Drosophila melanogaster: one gene and its partners. The protein of the gene in region 1 binds, or shares a complex with, the protein of each later gene. Each region holds a gene or a part of one and is shown in the gene's direction. Other genes may lie near its edges.

The links.
Region 2: eIF3d2 (region 1) and eIF3f1 share a complex: the UniProt entries of both Drosophila melanogaster proteins name them as parts of the eukaryotic translation initiation factor 3 (eIF-3) complex.
Region 3: eIF3d2 (region 1) and eIF3i share a complex: the UniProt entries of both Drosophila melanogaster proteins name them as parts of the eukaryotic translation initiation factor 3 (eIF-3) complex.
Region 4: eIF3d2 (region 1) and eIF3h share a complex: the UniProt entries of both Drosophila melanogaster proteins name them as parts of the eukaryotic translation initiation factor 3 (eIF-3) complex.

What each region holds. Positions count from the first base shown.
Region 1 is NT_033777.3:12,192,139-12,196,722, reverse strand, and holds eIF3d2 (eukaryotic translation initiation factor 3 subunit d2), read left to right. Parts: upstream 1-1,711; 5' UTR 1,712-1,770; coding exon 1,771-2,763; intron 2,764-2,840; coding exon 2,841-3,503; 3' UTR 3,504-4,020; downstream 4,021-4,584. Other genes in the region: CG43450 (uncharacterized protein), read right to left, coding at 1,236-1,382. UniProt on the Drosophila melanogaster protein: mRNA cap-binding component of the eukaryotic translation initiation factor 3 (eIF-3) complex, which is involved in protein synthesis of a specialized repertoire of mRNAs and, together with other initiation factors, stimulates binding of mRNA and methionyl-tRNAi to the 40S ribosome.
Region 2 is NT_033777.3:4,712,318-4,715,701, reverse strand, and holds eIF3f1 (eukaryotic translation initiation factor 3 subunit f1), read left to right. Parts: upstream 1-1,519; 5' UTR 1,520-1,616; coding exon 1,617-2,459; 3' UTR 2,460-2,820; downstream 2,821-3,384. UniProt on the Drosophila melanogaster protein: Component of the eukaryotic translation initiation factor 3 (eIF-3) complex, which is involved in protein synthesis of a specialized repertoire of mRNAs and, together with other initiation factors, stimulates binding of mRNA and methionyl-tRNAi to the 40S ribosome.
Region 3 is NT_033779.5:4,965,852-4,969,584, reverse strand, and holds eIF3i (eukaryotic translation initiation factor 3 subunit i), read left to right. Parts: upstream 1-1,809; 5' UTR 1,810-1,891; coding exon 1,892-1,894; intron 1,895-2,071; coding exon 2,072-2,561; intron 2,562-2,616; coding exon 2,617-3,104; 3' UTR 3,105-3,218; downstream 3,219-3,733. Other genes in the region: Polr1C (RNA polymerase I and III subunit C), read right to left, coding at 1-300, 361-500; Scox (synthesis of cytochrome c oxidase), read left to right, coding at 760-1,153, 1,217-1,578; CG34125 (uncharacterized protein), read right to left, coding at 3,311-3,703. UniProt on the Drosophila melanogaster protein: Component of the eukaryotic translation initiation factor 3 (eIF-3) complex, which is involved in protein synthesis of a specialized repertoire of mRNAs and, together with other initiation factors, stimulates binding of mRNA and methionyl-tRNAi to the 40S ribosome.
Region 4 is NT_033779.5:5,050,643-5,054,867, reverse strand, and holds eIF3h (eukaryotic translation initiation factor 3 subunit h), read left to right. Parts: upstream 1-1,784; 5' UTR 1,785-2,132; coding exon 2,133-2,213; intron 2,214-2,553; coding exon 2,554-3,231; intron 3,232-3,297; coding exon 3,298-3,555; 3' UTR 3,556-3,675; downstream 3,676-4,225. Other genes in the region: CG14036 (uncharacterized protein), read left to right, coding at 1-197; senju, read right to left, coding at 490-1,453, 1,512-1,629, 1,700-1,784; CG9121 (uncharacterized protein), read left to right, coding at 3,991-4,210. UniProt on the Drosophila melanogaster protein: Component of the eukaryotic translation initiation factor 3 (eIF-3) complex, which is involved in protein synthesis of a specialized repertoire of mRNAs and, together with other initiation factors, stimulates binding of mRNA and methionyl-tRNAi to the 40S ribosome.

The sequences.
Region 1 (4,584 bases):
CTTGGCTGTGTTCCTTTCACCAAGCCGCTACCGCTTTTTCCTACAAGACCGGCAGTGGCAGAAGAAAAGCTTCAGCGGCAGGAGCGATTGCAGATGAGCTGGAGATGAGAGGGTAAATCCGGAGGTTGGAAAGCGGAAGGCGGATGGGGATGGAGAAACCGCAGCGGTGACGTGGCAATGCAGCTGCATAATGTGGCATGCGGTTTGCATTAAAAATGATATTGCAACACGAGCCGCACATCTGCAGCTGTGTGCAGTTAGGCGCCGCCTGCAGTCACTGACAGCCGCATGGCAATTATAATCCACACACACATACACTCACTCAGACGCACACTCATCCACGGCTTATGGCTACACTGAAATCAATTCAATGGTAAAATAGGAATTATTTCAGTCAAAATAAGTTCCCATTGTTATTGCTCCACAGAACCCATTATTATATTCTTGGTATGCATTCTTGGTCTTCTATTCTTACATTTGACATTATCTCTTCATATTCTCGCAGTGTATCAACAGAGAAGTGCGAGGGAATCTGGAGCCGGGCCATGTAAGCAGCAGCTGCCAGTGACATACACATCAACATGACACCCTGTCGCTTGACAAAGCTTAGCTCAGGATCTGGGTGCTGGAAGAGGGGCGGAGGCACCGCACTCCCACTGTCATCCCGCTCGCACCCATATCATTTTCCACACATTCAGGCACATTCACACGCTCGACATGTTGCTTTTTGGGTATGAGCCGGAGTGCAGGATGTCCGCTTCCTTTTTCGCCGCCTCACACGTTGTTATCTAACAAGCTTTTTATGTGATTACCTTTTGCCTTCTGTTAGTTTTACTATAATTTGGCCTTTACGCTTAACGAGATTGTTGTAAGGTGCTCCCAGCCAAGAATAAGGAAACCGAACCGGAACACAGTGAGGACTGAGCCAAGTTGACCAGATCCAGCACACAGGACACTCGTCCCATTGTAGTGCACTCCGCTGTTGTTCCTTTGCTTTCCTGATACTTGGGTCAGAACAATGGTGCTGGAGTTGGAGTCATATGAATGGAGTCATGTCGATGTGAGCTTAGATGCGTCGTCAAGTGATAATCCCGTCACAGTACCCCGCTTCCTGTACCATTTCCACAGCTCAACAAACATTTATTTGTGCGCTTAGTGAGGGTTTTTTATAAAAGATAATAAGAAACAAGAATTTGTCGGCTGGAAGGGGATCCCCGCGCCCATCCTGGATCAGCTCACCATGCGGAGGATGAGAATAATCGTGGCCAATGAGAGCAGCACGACGTTGACGGAGAACCGAAAGACGAACAGGCAATTACACATTTCTTCATTGTGGTTGCGGTGGTGTTTAATTGGGGGCAGGGCGTCCTCCTAAGATTCATTCTCCAAACGTCTTACTTCTCACTTTGTGTAGTTTATAGGGTTTCGGTGTGACTAGAAATACAAATAAGACTGAGCTTTTATTGTGAGGAATTGGTATCTTTTGATTTCTCACAATAGGCTTCAATCTACTTACTATAGGCTTTTGAAGAAATCTTTTTAGTTGTCTATCAAAAATTATTTAAAGATTGGATATTCGGTTATTTCCTTAATGGATAAAACCGCCTTTTTCATATTATAACATTATCCAAACGTAGGGCTTGGAAAATTTTCCCAAGCTGTCAAGCCGGCCATACGAAATCAGCTCAGTGTAATTTGTACCTCGACAAAACCGGATCACATAAATGTAAATACTTGCTCTTGGTTATTTAAACATCTTTCGGCGTGATTATGTCCAACTACGCACCCTTTATCAAGCCCTATGTGGAGTACAACGAGCACGGCTGGGGTCCTTGCGAGGTACCCGAATTGGATGTGCCCTACCAGCCGTTCTGCAAAAGTGATCGCCTGGGCAAGATCTGCGACTGGACTGCGATGGTGCCCGAGAAGAAGTTCCCCAGTAAATACGCCTCGACCTTTGGCAACAACAGTCAGTACGCATACTTCTACGAGGACGATGACTCCACCTTCCATTTGGTGGACACCACTGGATCGAAGGCCACCAAGCCCTATCAGCGGGGACGCTATAGACCCAATATGCGCAACAATGTGAGGAGCAGGGGTCGCACGGGGCGTGGCACTCCGAATATAGCAAGTCTCGGGGGATCCACGGCTGGAGGCGCAACTGCCAGTACCACCAAGTACGGAAAGGGTCGCAATACACGCAACACGCAGAATATGGGTCGCAGATTCGGTCGCAATGCTCCCACCAGAATCCGCGAGAGCTCAGTGATGGTGCAATCGGATTGGGTTTCGATCGAGGAGATTGATTTTCCACGCCTTCTCAAGCTGGCACTTCCCAATATTAAAGATGGTAAGGACATTGCCACCTGCGGATGGCTGGAATTTTATGATAAGTTATACGATCGAGTCAACTTACGCAATGAAAAACCATTGCAAAAGATGGATCGTGTTGTGCACACCGTGACGACCACGGATGATCCGGTTATTCGTCGTCTTTCGAGGACCATGGGCAATGTCTTTGCCACCGACGAAATCTTGTCCACCATAATGTGCTGCACACGCTCCAATTACTCTTGGGATGTGGTAGTCGAGAAATTGGGCACTAAGGTGTTCTTAGATAAGAGATATAATGATCAATTTGATTTGCTGACTGTCAACGAGACTTCAGTAGAACCTCCGATGGATGAGGAGGGTTCCATCAATTCGGCACATAGCTTGGCAATGGAGGCCACTCTAATTAATCACAACTTTAGCCAGCAGGTAGGTTTACAGTAGGTTTCAATTTATGTTATTTGTTATTGTACGTTTTTAAATCTTATGTTATTTATTTTTAAAAGGTTCTTCGCATTGGCGACCAAGAGCCACGTTTCATGTTTGAGGAGCCCAATCCGTTCGAGGAGCCAGGCGTGGATCTTGCCTCCATTGGCTATCGCTACCGTCAGTGGGATCTGGGCAACGATGTGGTGCTGATTGCTCGCTGCAAGCACAATGGGGTTATCCAAGGACCCAATGGGGACGTGCAGTTCCTCTCGATCAAGGCGCTGAATGAATGGGACTCCAAGGTGACCAACAGTGTGGAGTGGCGCCAGAAGTTGGACACCCAGCGCGGTGCAGTCTTGGCCTCCGAGTTGCGCAACAATGCTTGTAAGCTAGCTCGATGGACCGTTGAGGCTGTGCTGGCTGGTTCCGATCAACTGAAGTTAGGCTATGTGTCCAGGATGAATCCGCGTGATCACCTGCGTCACGTGATCCTTGGCACACAGCAATTCAAGCCGCAGGAGTTCGCCACCCAAATCAACCTGAACATGGACAATGCCTGGGGAGTATTGCGTTGCCTAATTGACCTTGTGATGAGGCAACCGGATGGAAAGTATCTGATCATGAAGGATCCCAACAAGCCGATGATCCGTCTGTATGACGTTCCGGAAAACGCCTTCGACTCCGACGGCGATGAGGAGGAGGAGTCCAGCGATCCCTTGAGTAACTCCAACGATAACTAACGCCCTCACGAATTTATTCAACTAATAGTTCTCCGAACAAGGGGATCCGTCGACGGACGAGACAAGCCGACACATGCTGACAGATGCGCAGTGAACACAAATGCAATTTAAATTGAGTTTTTGACCAAACACAACATATGAACGGAGCCATCACTTGACATGTCAGTGAACAACGGACCGGGTGACCGGGTGCAGTCACAGTTATTTTGAGGATAACATGGCCACATCAATCACTGCGGTTCCAAGAAATACAAAATGAAACCCGGCTAAATAAATATGCATTGTGCAGAACATCCCCCGCCATTACCGACTGACAATCACAATAATTGCGGGGGAGTGGAACTGGGGCTGAAATGGGTGAAGGGCTGTTTGGGTGACAAACCTCAGGATCAATAAATCACCGAACACGGCATCAATCAATGCAAATTCTGATGCTGCTGTGGTGCTTGGCGTGCGACAATTTAAGCAAAATGTTTTCGTATTCAACAGCATTTAATTAAATTCATATATGTGCTCGAATTTCATATGCATCCTGCCTTTTTTGTTATTTGGCAATTCAATTTGGGCAGTCAGTGAGCACAAAAGTGCAGAAATTATTCCCCAACGGAAATGCAAATCGCTCAACTAAATTACCAAAATGTTTTGCGCATTTTTGTTTTTGTTTCTCCGTCCGCCAATTTCTTTTTGTTCAGCGCCAAATTGAATTTAGACCTATTCAATTTGCATGGATAGGCTTGCACTCCCTTTCTTCCCCAGACAGGATGAGCAAATGATGATGCCTGGGTGTGAAATAAGTGTGTGAAAATATTTAGGGAATTTACGCAAATGAAAATTGAAACCGATTAATTTTAATTCCCTGCCTGCGGCAAATTTGATTGATAAAGTCGGTCCATTATGTGGCAGTGCACAGATTCACAATGCAGCACATACATATGTATATGTGTGCACATCAAGTATACGCACAGTTGGCCGGAAAGGCACTTGATCTTGCCAGTAAGCAGCAGTGAAACACCAAAGTGTTATTCAATTAAAACATTTTGTTTGCTAAATCAACATGTGTGCCTGTGTGTGTGCCTGCAGG
Region 2 (3,384 bases), 7.5 Mb from region 1:
CATTGGCTTTAGCTACAAGTTGAAGCCCTTTTTTCATGGAATGGACAAGTTTTTGCAGGTCATATTCAAACGGGATCTTTTCACACTCTTCGACTATTACAGTCATAAGCTGTTGTCGTGTTTTAGGTCCCTTTTTGCCACCTTCTTCTTTAAGTAGGTCCACAAATTTTAAATGGGGTTCAGATCAGGACTCTGAGGGGGCGTATCGATCACTTTACCACAGTTATAAGGGCGCCAGGTGCGTACATTGCACTCTTTATGTTTCTGATCATGTCCTCTTAAAATATAAAATTTGGCTTGTTGTTGCTAACTAGACCAAATTTTTCTGCACCGGCCTTCAAATTTGTTTTTTAAGATTCCTAGATATTGCACGGCATTTATTGTGCTCTAAATTAAGGCTAGTTTTCCCACTCCATGGCTGGTGATACAGCCACAAACCATCAGTGACATTTTTCCAAATTTTATCGTTGGAATGATATTTTGTTTTTCTAGCGCACTCAGCGGTTTGCGCCATACTCTGCTTGGCCCGTCGTTATAAAAGAGCATAATTTTTGTTTCGTCACCAAATATGACGTCATCCCAGTACTCTTCTGGATGATCCACCTTGTTCACAGCGAATTAATGACGCTTTTCCATATTGGCATCTGATAGCAAAGGATTTTTCCTCGCAACTCTTGAAGAGTATCTATGGCGTAGGATGACTTGGCGCACAGTTTCGTGTGACACAGTTAGGTGACACTCTTGCCTGATATCCAGAGCAAGTGATCTGACCGGGGGTTCGCAATCTCTATTCGCATAATAAAGCGGTCTACACGCTTTTTAATTTTAATTTTCCGCCCACCACCACTCTTAGGTTCAAGCCTGTCCTCTTTTTCCGAGCCTTTTAAAAAATAGTAGACGGTCTTACGGGATACAGAAAACATTTATACTTATTCTGGAAAAGATTTTCCCAACTGGTGGTTATAGTTTATTAATTGGGTAACTTCAAAGTTTATCTCTTTCCAGGCATTTTATTAAATTTAATAATTCGCTTTAAGCACGTTTGATCAGCAAAATTTCACAAGCAAGATTGAGTAGTAGAATGTAACCGACATTTTGTTATTGATCCGTTATGTTAAGAATGAGCAGCGAGCAATGAAATTCACGGAAAGCGTTCCGTTATTGAGTGGGCATCATTTGTGTGGCTGTTGTTGTTGTTGTATAGTTTCTGGAAACGAAGTAAGGATGAAATAATTGAGTGAAGGTGAGGAATAGAAGAAAAGCATCGCGAAGGCGACGCTTGAGTAAATTAGTCTGCTTAGAACGACAGAAGAAACAACACGCAGGCGACTTGATGTGCTGGACAATATGGACGCTGAAGTAAATGAAAAGTCGCGCTTGGCATCTCCGACATATTCAAATTTGAATAGTATTTGATTAACTAACGCTAGCCACCGGTTTTACATCGATAAAACGATAGGCCACGCACGACCGCACCGATAGCTCCAAAAGCCATCAACCCCCACCCGCACTATCGATAGGCCCTTTTCTTGCATCCCTAAAACATACGCGCAGCGTGGCTGAATAGAAATTATTGCGGAAATTTTCCTTGCAAATCTTGGCCACCGAAAATTACCATGTCGGCTCTCAATCTGACCGTGCGCGTGCACCCGGTGGTGCTTTTCCAGGTGGTGGACGCCTTCGAGCGGCGGAACGCGGACTCGCACCGCGTCATCGGCACCCTGCTCGGCTCTGTGGACAAAGGTGTGGTGGAGGTTACCAACTGTTTCTGTGTGCCGCACAAGGAGCACGATGACCAGGTGGAGGCAGAGCTGAGCTACGCCCTGGACATGTACGACCTCAACCGCAAGGTGAACTCCAACGAGAGCGTGGTAGGCTGGTGGGCCACCGGCAACGACGTTACCAACCACAGCTCGGTGATCCACGAGTATTACGCCCGCGAATGCAACAACCCGGTTCACCTCACCGTGGACACTTCGCTGCAGGGCGGACGTATGGGTCTGCGTGCTTATGTCTGCATTCAACTAGGAGTTCCCGGCGGCAAGAGCGGCTGCATGTTCACGCCCATTCCTGTCGAGCTGACCAGCTACGAGCCGGAGACATTTGGGCTCAAGCTGCTTCAGAAGACCGTAGGCGTTTCGCCCGCTCACCGTCCCAAGACCGTTCCGCCAATGCTGGACCTGGCCCAAATCTCGGAGGCCTCCACGAAGCTGCAGTCCCTGCTGGATCTTATTCTCAAGTACGTTGACGACGTGATCGCTCACAAGGTAACCCCCGACAACGCCGTCGGACGCCAGCTGCTAGACCTTATCCACTCCGTGCCGCACATGACCCACGAGCAGTTCACTCAGATGTTCAACGCCAACGTACGCAACCTTCTGCTGGTCATCACGCTCTCCCAGCTCATCAAAACCCAGCTGCAGCTTAACGAAAAGCTCACCTTCCTGCCCACCGCCTAGAACGACGGCGTTTGTTGAAGTGGTAATATCTACTAAGGGTGGCATTGTAAACTGATTGTGTTTTTTATCAATGGGGGTCTACGTAATAAAGTGCTCTGATCGCCAAAAAAAAAAACCAAAACTTGTATCGATTACTCTGGTCAGAATGACATTCCATACTAAAGAAAATATATATGGGATTATCTTTTTTATAACTCAATTGAAGAATCAGCATGAATCCTGTGACACCTACACTAAACGACCATGTGGCGTTTGTAGGAGCATTCGAATCTACTGAAGACTCTTAAACACAACAGTATTCATCACCAGGAACAAAATAAATGCATGTGCAACTGAAAATTTAGCACCCAACTGCTAAAACAAAATGTTGTGTTTCAGTCTTTGGTGAGCTTCACTATTCTATAGGGTTTCAGGGAGTCGCATCGGTGCTGGGTTTATTGTAAGAATAGTAATATTTATATTCTTTAATATCAAACTTTGATGATCGTACCTTCGGCACACAAAAGTTATAATATCAAATTTTGTGACGAAATATGACAACACATTCTATTAAAAACTAGTTTCTTACATTTTATAACCAGCACCTCGTTGCATCATATGCGTTACTTAACTTTCAATTGTTTGGTAGCACCAGGATAAACTTGAGCTACGCCTACACTTTTCTGTGCAATCTGCATCCTTAATCTTCTAGCATTTATAGTTCATGAGATCTTGACGTTCATGCGGACAAACATGGCCAGATCGACTGCGCTGATTCTTGATCCTGGTGAAGAATAAAAGGTACTCTAAAGAGCATAAAAAAACACACTTTTCATATGAAAGAAGGACACAAAGGGGCTCCAAGATTTCCCCGTATGCCTTAATATATAAATTAATTAAAAAAAAAACTTTTCATATGAAAGTTTGTGTGGCCAATTTAAATATA
Region 3 (3,733 bases), on another chromosome or scaffold:
TTTCCAGCATCCCGTCGCCGCGAGCACTTCACCTTCAGCTCAAATTCAAGCGTATCCTGCTCGGTCCCCGCCTCAGTGCTTTCCTCGGTGCGGTATGCGAATAGACGGGGATCAGCCCGCAACGGAAGTAGACCCATTCGATGGGCAAGTACCTCGTCCTGGATGATCGAGGTGTTGTTGTATATGTACACCTTTTCGATGGCCATGCTGGGCACATCGCTGAGCATCAGGCGACGGAAGGCATTTGCAATGGCGGGATACACGCCAATCAGATCGAACTCCAGGCCGTCTTCGTCGTTTCTAGAAGTGAACACCAATTGTTAATCGACTCGTAAGATTCTAATTTCTATTGAGATTTACCTGACGATTTTGATGTGCAGCTTTTCCTTGAAAGCCTGAACGGAAAATACATCGTCCGCCAGTCCATAGTCCTGCGGATCCTGCTTCACCCGATACTCCTCCATGTACAGAAGCGGCTCCTTGCGATTTTTGCTTGCCATTTGCCCCGGTGTTTTTATTAAATAATTTAACAAAATTGAACCGCACGTGTTGGAATCAATAAGACCGCCTTCTAATACCAAAATATACCAAACTAACTAACAAACTAACTAATATACTAAATAAATATACTTTATGTACTAAATAAATGCTGTTTCGCCGTGACTGGCTGAATAGGAAGAAGCAGCAGGACACCGGCGATATTTTTATTTCTCCAGAAGATTTACGTAAAGCCTTCAAATTTCTGAAACCGGGCGTAAGATGTCCCGCTCCCTGCAACGCTTAGTGGGCAGCTGTCGTCGCTGGGCACAACAGCCCGCAATTCGTCATTATGCCGCTCCCGCAGATTCCACTAAAGGCAAGGGTCCGATCTCTTGGAGAAGTCTGGCCGTCATTGGAGCCCTTGGAGCCGGAGGAGTGGGCTTCATGCTGTACGTGAAGAGCGAGAAGGATGAGGCGAGAATGAAGGAGCGTCAGCGGCAATTGGGAAAAGCAGCCATCGGCGGCAGTTGGGAATTAGTTGATTCGCAGGGAGCTGTTCGCAAATCGGAGGACTTCTTAGGCAAGTGGCTGCTCATCTATTTTGGCTTCACCCACTGCCCGGATATTTGTCCCGATGAGCTAGAGAAGATGGCCGCCGTCGTCGATGAAGTTGGTAAGTAGAGCCTGACTATTTCTTCCAAACCCAAAAAAAACCATGTTTCTCAAACCTTCACAGAAAAGTCCCCGCAAACGCCAGCAGTGCAGCCCATCTTTATCACCGTTGACCCAGAACGTGACTCCAAAGAGGTGGTGGCCAAATACGTAAAAGAGTTCTCCCCCAAACTGCTGGGACTCACGGGAACCGTCGAACAAATCCGCAAAGTGTGCAAGGCCTTCAGGGTTTATTTCAGCGCTGGACCGCGGGACGAGGACAACGATTATATTGTGGATCACACCATCATCATGTACCTGGTCAATCCCGATGGCGAGTTTGTCGATTACTACGGCCAAAATCGGGACAAGGACCAGTGTGTGGCATCCATTTTGGTGAACATAGCCAAGTGGAATTCAATGAACAAAAAGGGATGGTTCAGCTAGGCTGGCTAAGCTAGGCAAATGTTGTTTCGTTGTATTTACTTAATGTATGGCATAAAATATGGTTTTTACTTGATGTATATCAAGTTTTAAATCCAAATTTTCGTTTATATTGGCTATACCTTAAGTTCTAGATTGTAAAAATTTCTGGTTGTTCAAAATAAACTTGATTAACGGTATTTTTTAGATCCCCCTGGTATATCGAAGTGAGATTTTGACTAGGCCACGGTCACACTGCTCTTTTGGCGTGTAGTGCTGCGTGGATGTTGTTGCAAAAATATTCGTTTTCTCGCAACAAATAACAATATAATACAAAATGGTGCGTGCCTGGTCAATGACTACACAGTTTGCATTATTCCGGATGGGTTTCTTTAGAATTTACCCGAAATTACAACTATTTGCAAAGTGTGAAAGTCGTGTGAAATTCCGGACCAAACATAACCTTAAAAGCGGCCTAAATTGTTGCTAAAAATTCGTATTATTCTGTCTTTTATAGCGTCCGTTGATGCTTCAGGGCCACGAGCGTTCCATAACGCAAATCAAGTACAACCGCGAGGGCGACCTGCTCTTCTCCTGCTCCAAGGATCAGAAGCCCAATGTGTGGTACTCGCTGAACGGAGAACGTTTGGGCACCTACGATGGTCACCAGGGTGCGGTCTGGTGCCTGGATGTGGACTGGGAGAGCCGTAAGCTCATCACCGGCGCCGGTGATATGACCGCTAAGATCTGGGACGTCGAGTACGGCACCGTTATCGCCTCCATTCCGACCAAGTCATCGGTGCGCACCAGCAACTTCAGCTTCTCGGGCAACCAGGCAGCCTACTCAACGGACAAAGCGATGGGACAGAGCTGTGAACTGTTCCTCATCGATGTCCGCAACGCCGATTCCTCGTTGTCGGAGCAGGAGCCCACACTCCGCATCCCGATGACCGAGTCCAAAATTACGTCGATGTTGTGGGGTCCTCTGGATGAGACCATCATCACAGGTTGGTGTTTACCCGATAATCTATTATGAAAACCGTTTAAAACCCGTATTTCCAGGTCACGATAATGGCAACATTGCCATCTGGGACATCCGTAAGGGTCAAAAGGTGGTTGACTCTGGCACGGATCACAGCGCTGGCATCAACGACATGCAGTTGAGCAAGGATGGCACCATGTTTGTGACCGCCTCCAAGGACACCACCGCCAAATTGTTCGATTCGGAGTCCCTGATGTGCCTCAAGACCTACAAAACGGAGCGTCCAGTAAACTCGGCGGCCATCAGCCCAATCATGGATCATGTCGTGCTGGGCGGCGGTCAAGATGCCATGGAGGTGACCACTACGTCTACGAAGGCTGGCAAGTTTGACTCGCGCTTCTTCCACCTGATATACGAGGAGGAGTTCGCCCGACTCAAGGGCCATTTCGGACCCATCAACAGTTTGGCCTTCCATCCGGACGGCAAGAGTTACGCCTCGGGCGGAGAAGATGGTTTCGTGCGTGTCCAGACATTCGATAGTACATACTTTGAGAACATCTTCGAGTAGTTTGTATCCAGTAGTGATTTAGTAGGATCAGAGCCGGTGGACTTAACATAACCATTTCACCGGCGACATGTTCGTTTGCTTAGGGAACTTTCAAATATACGCGAGGACGAAACGAAACGGATCGCGTCGTTTATTTTTATAACATCAAAGGAGTGGAAAGAGGTACAACATGATTATATTCGAGTAAATGGTGTGCCATGTGTAACCTAAAAAAAGGAACGCTTTTTTTGCTTGAGAACCACAGGCTGACCCTGCATGGCCGCCCACTGAGCCGGTGTGGGCAGGCAGCCCGGCGGAGGAGGCGGAATGACGACATTTCCGTTGGAATTTGTCCTCACCTCGGCCCGTGAGTCCAAGTGGAGGACCTGTGCTGCAGCTGCTCCTGCCGACGTACTGGGACCAGCAAGTCCGAAGCCACTGCCATGTGTCATACCGTAGTTGGGCTGCCCGCTGAAGGGCATCTGCTGTTGCTGGTGGCTGATCATGCCGTAATACTGATTCTGGCTGGGCGGAGCACCTCCTCCTTGTGGATAGCCATAGGCACCAGCACCGGTGCCGCCGTTTCGCTGGCTTTCTTCATACGTTGGCGGAGGAGCTCGCTAGAAGTCGCAAAACTTTAGATGGCGACT
Region 4 (4,225 bases), on another chromosome or scaffold:
GCGAGAAGAACTACTGTGGACCGCCGCTGCAGACCTGCAAGTACAACGCCACACACCGAGTCCAGGACATGGAGAAGCATCTGAAGGAGTGTGACTACTATCTCCGCAGCATCGAAAACCAGGCGGTGCAGATAGCGCTTCGTAGTCGCATACCGCCCAAACAGGAAGATGGACATGATGTGGACACACCATTTTAGGCTAAGACAAGCAGGCATCCAAATATACCATGTACATATGTGATAGTATATGAACCATAAAATAAAAAGCTTCTTGAAGAAGCATGCACAATATTCGTTTGATTGCATTTATGTTCTGATTAAAATAAGAATCTTAAACTAGAGGAGCAAAAGTTTTGGTATTTACAAGCCTGTTGCTATTGCATTGCACAAAGCCTGGGGTCAAATACATTCGTCTGGCGTTTAAAACATTTGCAGGCACTTTTCCACAACTATTTACAGTCTAAGATTACGTCTAGGACAAGCTACAGCATTACACCATATCGAGGTCCGATTCTGCCGCTTCCTCGTCGATCAGCTTTCGTTTATCCGTTGATTTGGTCGTGGCATCACTTAAATTGGACAGCGGACGCACCTTGCCCAAATTAACCACCGGGCTTTGGGTGTAGAGATAGATGGCGTAGGATACAACCGCGATGGCCAGCGCGGTGTTCATGTAAATGGGTATGGAGAAGAGGAAGTAGCATAGGACTGCCGTGAAGAGCAACTCCAGAGCGCTCGCGAAGGTCTTTAGAATGGAGTTCATGTACTTGAGGAAGAAACTCGTGACAATGCCAATAGCCGCATTGTTAACAATAATGATTAGCACGCTAAAGCGCATAATACTGCCCAGATTCTGCGGACTAAAGGCATCAAGGAGCTCGCCGCGCAGCAAGAGGATGACTGCATTGCAGACAATCGAGTCCAGGTACATGAAGACATTCTGTACAAAGATATTCACATCGGCTCCCTTATCTTTAAGCAGATACTCATTGTAAACGCCCGCCAGACAAGAGCAAATTGTCTGTGCCAGAATGAAGACGGCACTCAGGCTAAAATCGAAGCCGGACATGTTCTTGCCGTGAGCGTGCGTCTCTGCAGAAGTTGTTTTATTATGTGATTGCAGCTGCTGCTGTATGGCTGCGGACTCGCTGTCATCATTCGCATCGCTGTAGAAGCTGCCGAAATCGACCTGCTTCATCATACAGCCGAGTGTCAGCAGTATGAGGGAGATCCATTGCCTTTGCGACAGGTACTTCTTGAAGATAATTTGGAATAGTATGCCCGTGACAACGACACGTAGCTGCAGTAGCAGATAGTAGGTGGTGGGATCGAATGTGGCCAAGTTGACAAAGGCCAAATTGTTGTACAGGCAGTAGAGAAAGGCGGGCACCATGTACAAGCCCAATACATTCCGATCCTTCTGAACATCGCGCACCAGGGAGCGTAGGTTGTTGCTGTGAATGAAATCGCGGTTTAATAGCGAGACAAAGGAGCGCCTCCACTCCTACTCACTCTCGGCAATACAGACAGGTGGAGACTATCAATTTAAAGACCTCGGTTAGCAGCACAACCGTGACGGTATTGTAGCCATAGGAGTTATTCGATTCCTGAGATGCTGTGACAAAGATGCCTGCAAAATAGACAGGAATTAGGGTGCGGCTTTGGCTTGCGTAAAAAGCCTTAATAAGGCAGCTGCATACCCTGTCCTATGAATAGGGACATGTACAACAGGAAGATCACAAATGTGAGCTTGGTGGGGAACAATTCACGCCAATTAGTTGACATTTCTGCGGTCTTCGTACTGCCAGCGTTGCGTTGCTAATGCGAAGAGAACTAAGACTAGCTACAAGTTGCGGCAACCGCAGTTATCAGTACCGTTCCGCTCGTTCGTGACAAGTGGGCCGTTTCTCGGTTTTCTAGGAAGTACAATTTTGAGTTTGTTTCTGTTGCTTTTCCACTGATAAACAAAATATATTTTGGGCCTTTTTTTATCGCTCGCCCGAACAGCTGATTTTAAAGCAGTGCACGCTTTTCAACACTTCAACCCACACAAAAATTGTGGTGTTGCGAAACGCCCTTTTACCACTGCAGCCGAGTTCACGTCGTGGGTCTTTTCGCTTACAATTCGTCAACATGGCAAATCGCGCAAATCGTCATGCTGCTCGCACCGAGGATTCGGATAATACCATTAACTACGTCCAATGCGACGGACTGGTGAGTAGTGCTGTTGGCCAAAAGACCTGGCCGAGATTGGCCCGTGGGAACCGGCGCGAAAGCCGGAAAAGTTAATGCCACGCGCTGTCTCAGAAATTTGCGTGCTTTGTGTGTGTTTGTATGGGTGTTCGTGAGGACATGGGCGTAGAGCTATAAGGAAAAGGGGGCCGGTCTCTTCATTACCATAGCACAAAAAACTTCAGTCAAATGTTTTCTTCAGAGAAACTATTAAAAGAAAGTCCGAAATATATCTACTTTCCACGCCCCTGTTCAAATGCAAATAGTTGTCTGTCGCTAATTGATTTTGGAACATAATTACTACGATCACTTTACCTTGCAGGCCGTCATGAAGATGGTGAAGCACTGCCATGAGGAGTCGAGCAACATGGACCTCGCCCAGGGCGCCCTGCTCGGTCTGGTGGTAGACAAGTGCCTGGAGATCACCAACTGCTTCCCGTTTCCCAAGAGCGGCGATGAGACCATGGACGAGGAGATGTACCAGCTGACCGTGATGCGTCGCCTGCGTCGCGTCAACGTAGATCATCTCCATGTGGGCTGGTACCAGAGCTCCGACGTGGGCAACAGCCTGTCAATGGCTCTGTTGGAATCGCAGTACCACTACCAGACCAGCATTGAAGAGTCCGTCGTTGTCGTCTACGATACGCAGAAGTCATCCCGCGGATTCCTGTGCTTGAAGGCCTACCGCCTTACTCCGCAGGCCATTCAGATGTACAAGGATGGCGACTTCACTCCAGAGGCATTCCGCACCCTGAAGGTCGGCTACGAGAACCTCTTCGCCGAGATTCCCATTGTGATCAAGAACTCGCCGCTGACCAACATTATGATGAGCGAGCTGAACGAGCTGCTGCCCGAGGACAAGGGGCACAACTTCCTGGACCTGGGCACCGCCACCGTATTGGAGAACCAAATGCGTAGCCTGATCGAGCGCGTCGACGAGTTGTACCAGGAGGCAGTGCGCTATAACAAGTACCAGCAGGTGGTCTTCAAGCAGGATACGGTACGTAGCAATATAATTAAATATGTAAAAATTCCTAATCGCTTTCCTTGCATTTATATTTTTTAGGAGAAGCACCGTGCTCTGGCTAAGCTGGCCGCCGAGAACGCCGTTCGCACATCGAAGGGAGAGCCCACGGTGCCAGAGGAGGAAGTGATCAAACAGTTCCGCCCCATGACTGCGCCCAACCGCCTGACGGCCACCATAACCTCTGGCCAGATCAATACCCACGCCCAGCATATCGCACAATTCTGTTCGCAATCGCTGGCCAAACTCTTCATCACGGAATCGCTGCAAATTGCCAAGGAAGCAAAGGAAACCAAATAGATTAGCTAATGTTAAGCGTTTTTTAAGCTGAGGCAACAACATTCACTACCCACAAACATAGCAACTGCACACACAGACGTCGAAAATAAACCAAACAAGCGATGAGTGGGCTTGGAAGCGAACTGCCAGCTGATTTCTTCTTTATTGTACTCTCCATTTGCTCAATAGAATGGCCAATTCAAACCGCCCCAAAAAAAGAAAACCACCACCCGCTATGCAGCCAAAAATTGGTACTGCTTCTGCGCACGCCGGATGTTTGGTTTCACTTCTCGATGAGACTTTCCGGGGGAGTGTTGCTGCCACTGACGACATCGACGCACTTTTCACACCACCCCACAAGCAGCTGCTTATCATTTGGTTTGTTCTTTTCGCTTCGCCTTTTCGCTAACCAGCTTCAGTTAGCCTAACTAACTAAATTACTAACCCGATGGCAAAATGCTGTCCTACGACCTCAACGAACGCCTGCTAACCGCCGTACAGAGCGGAGATTTCGAGCAGGCTCTGGGCTGCATCATGCAAGGTGCCCAGGCCTCGTATGTATCGCCCACTTGCGGACGCACTGCCGTGGGCACGGCGGCCATTCTGGGCGATGCCGAACTGTTGGAGCTGCTGCTTCAATCCTGCGAGGAGCCCGAGCTGAATGTCTTTCATCAGTGTGAGTTTTCCTTCC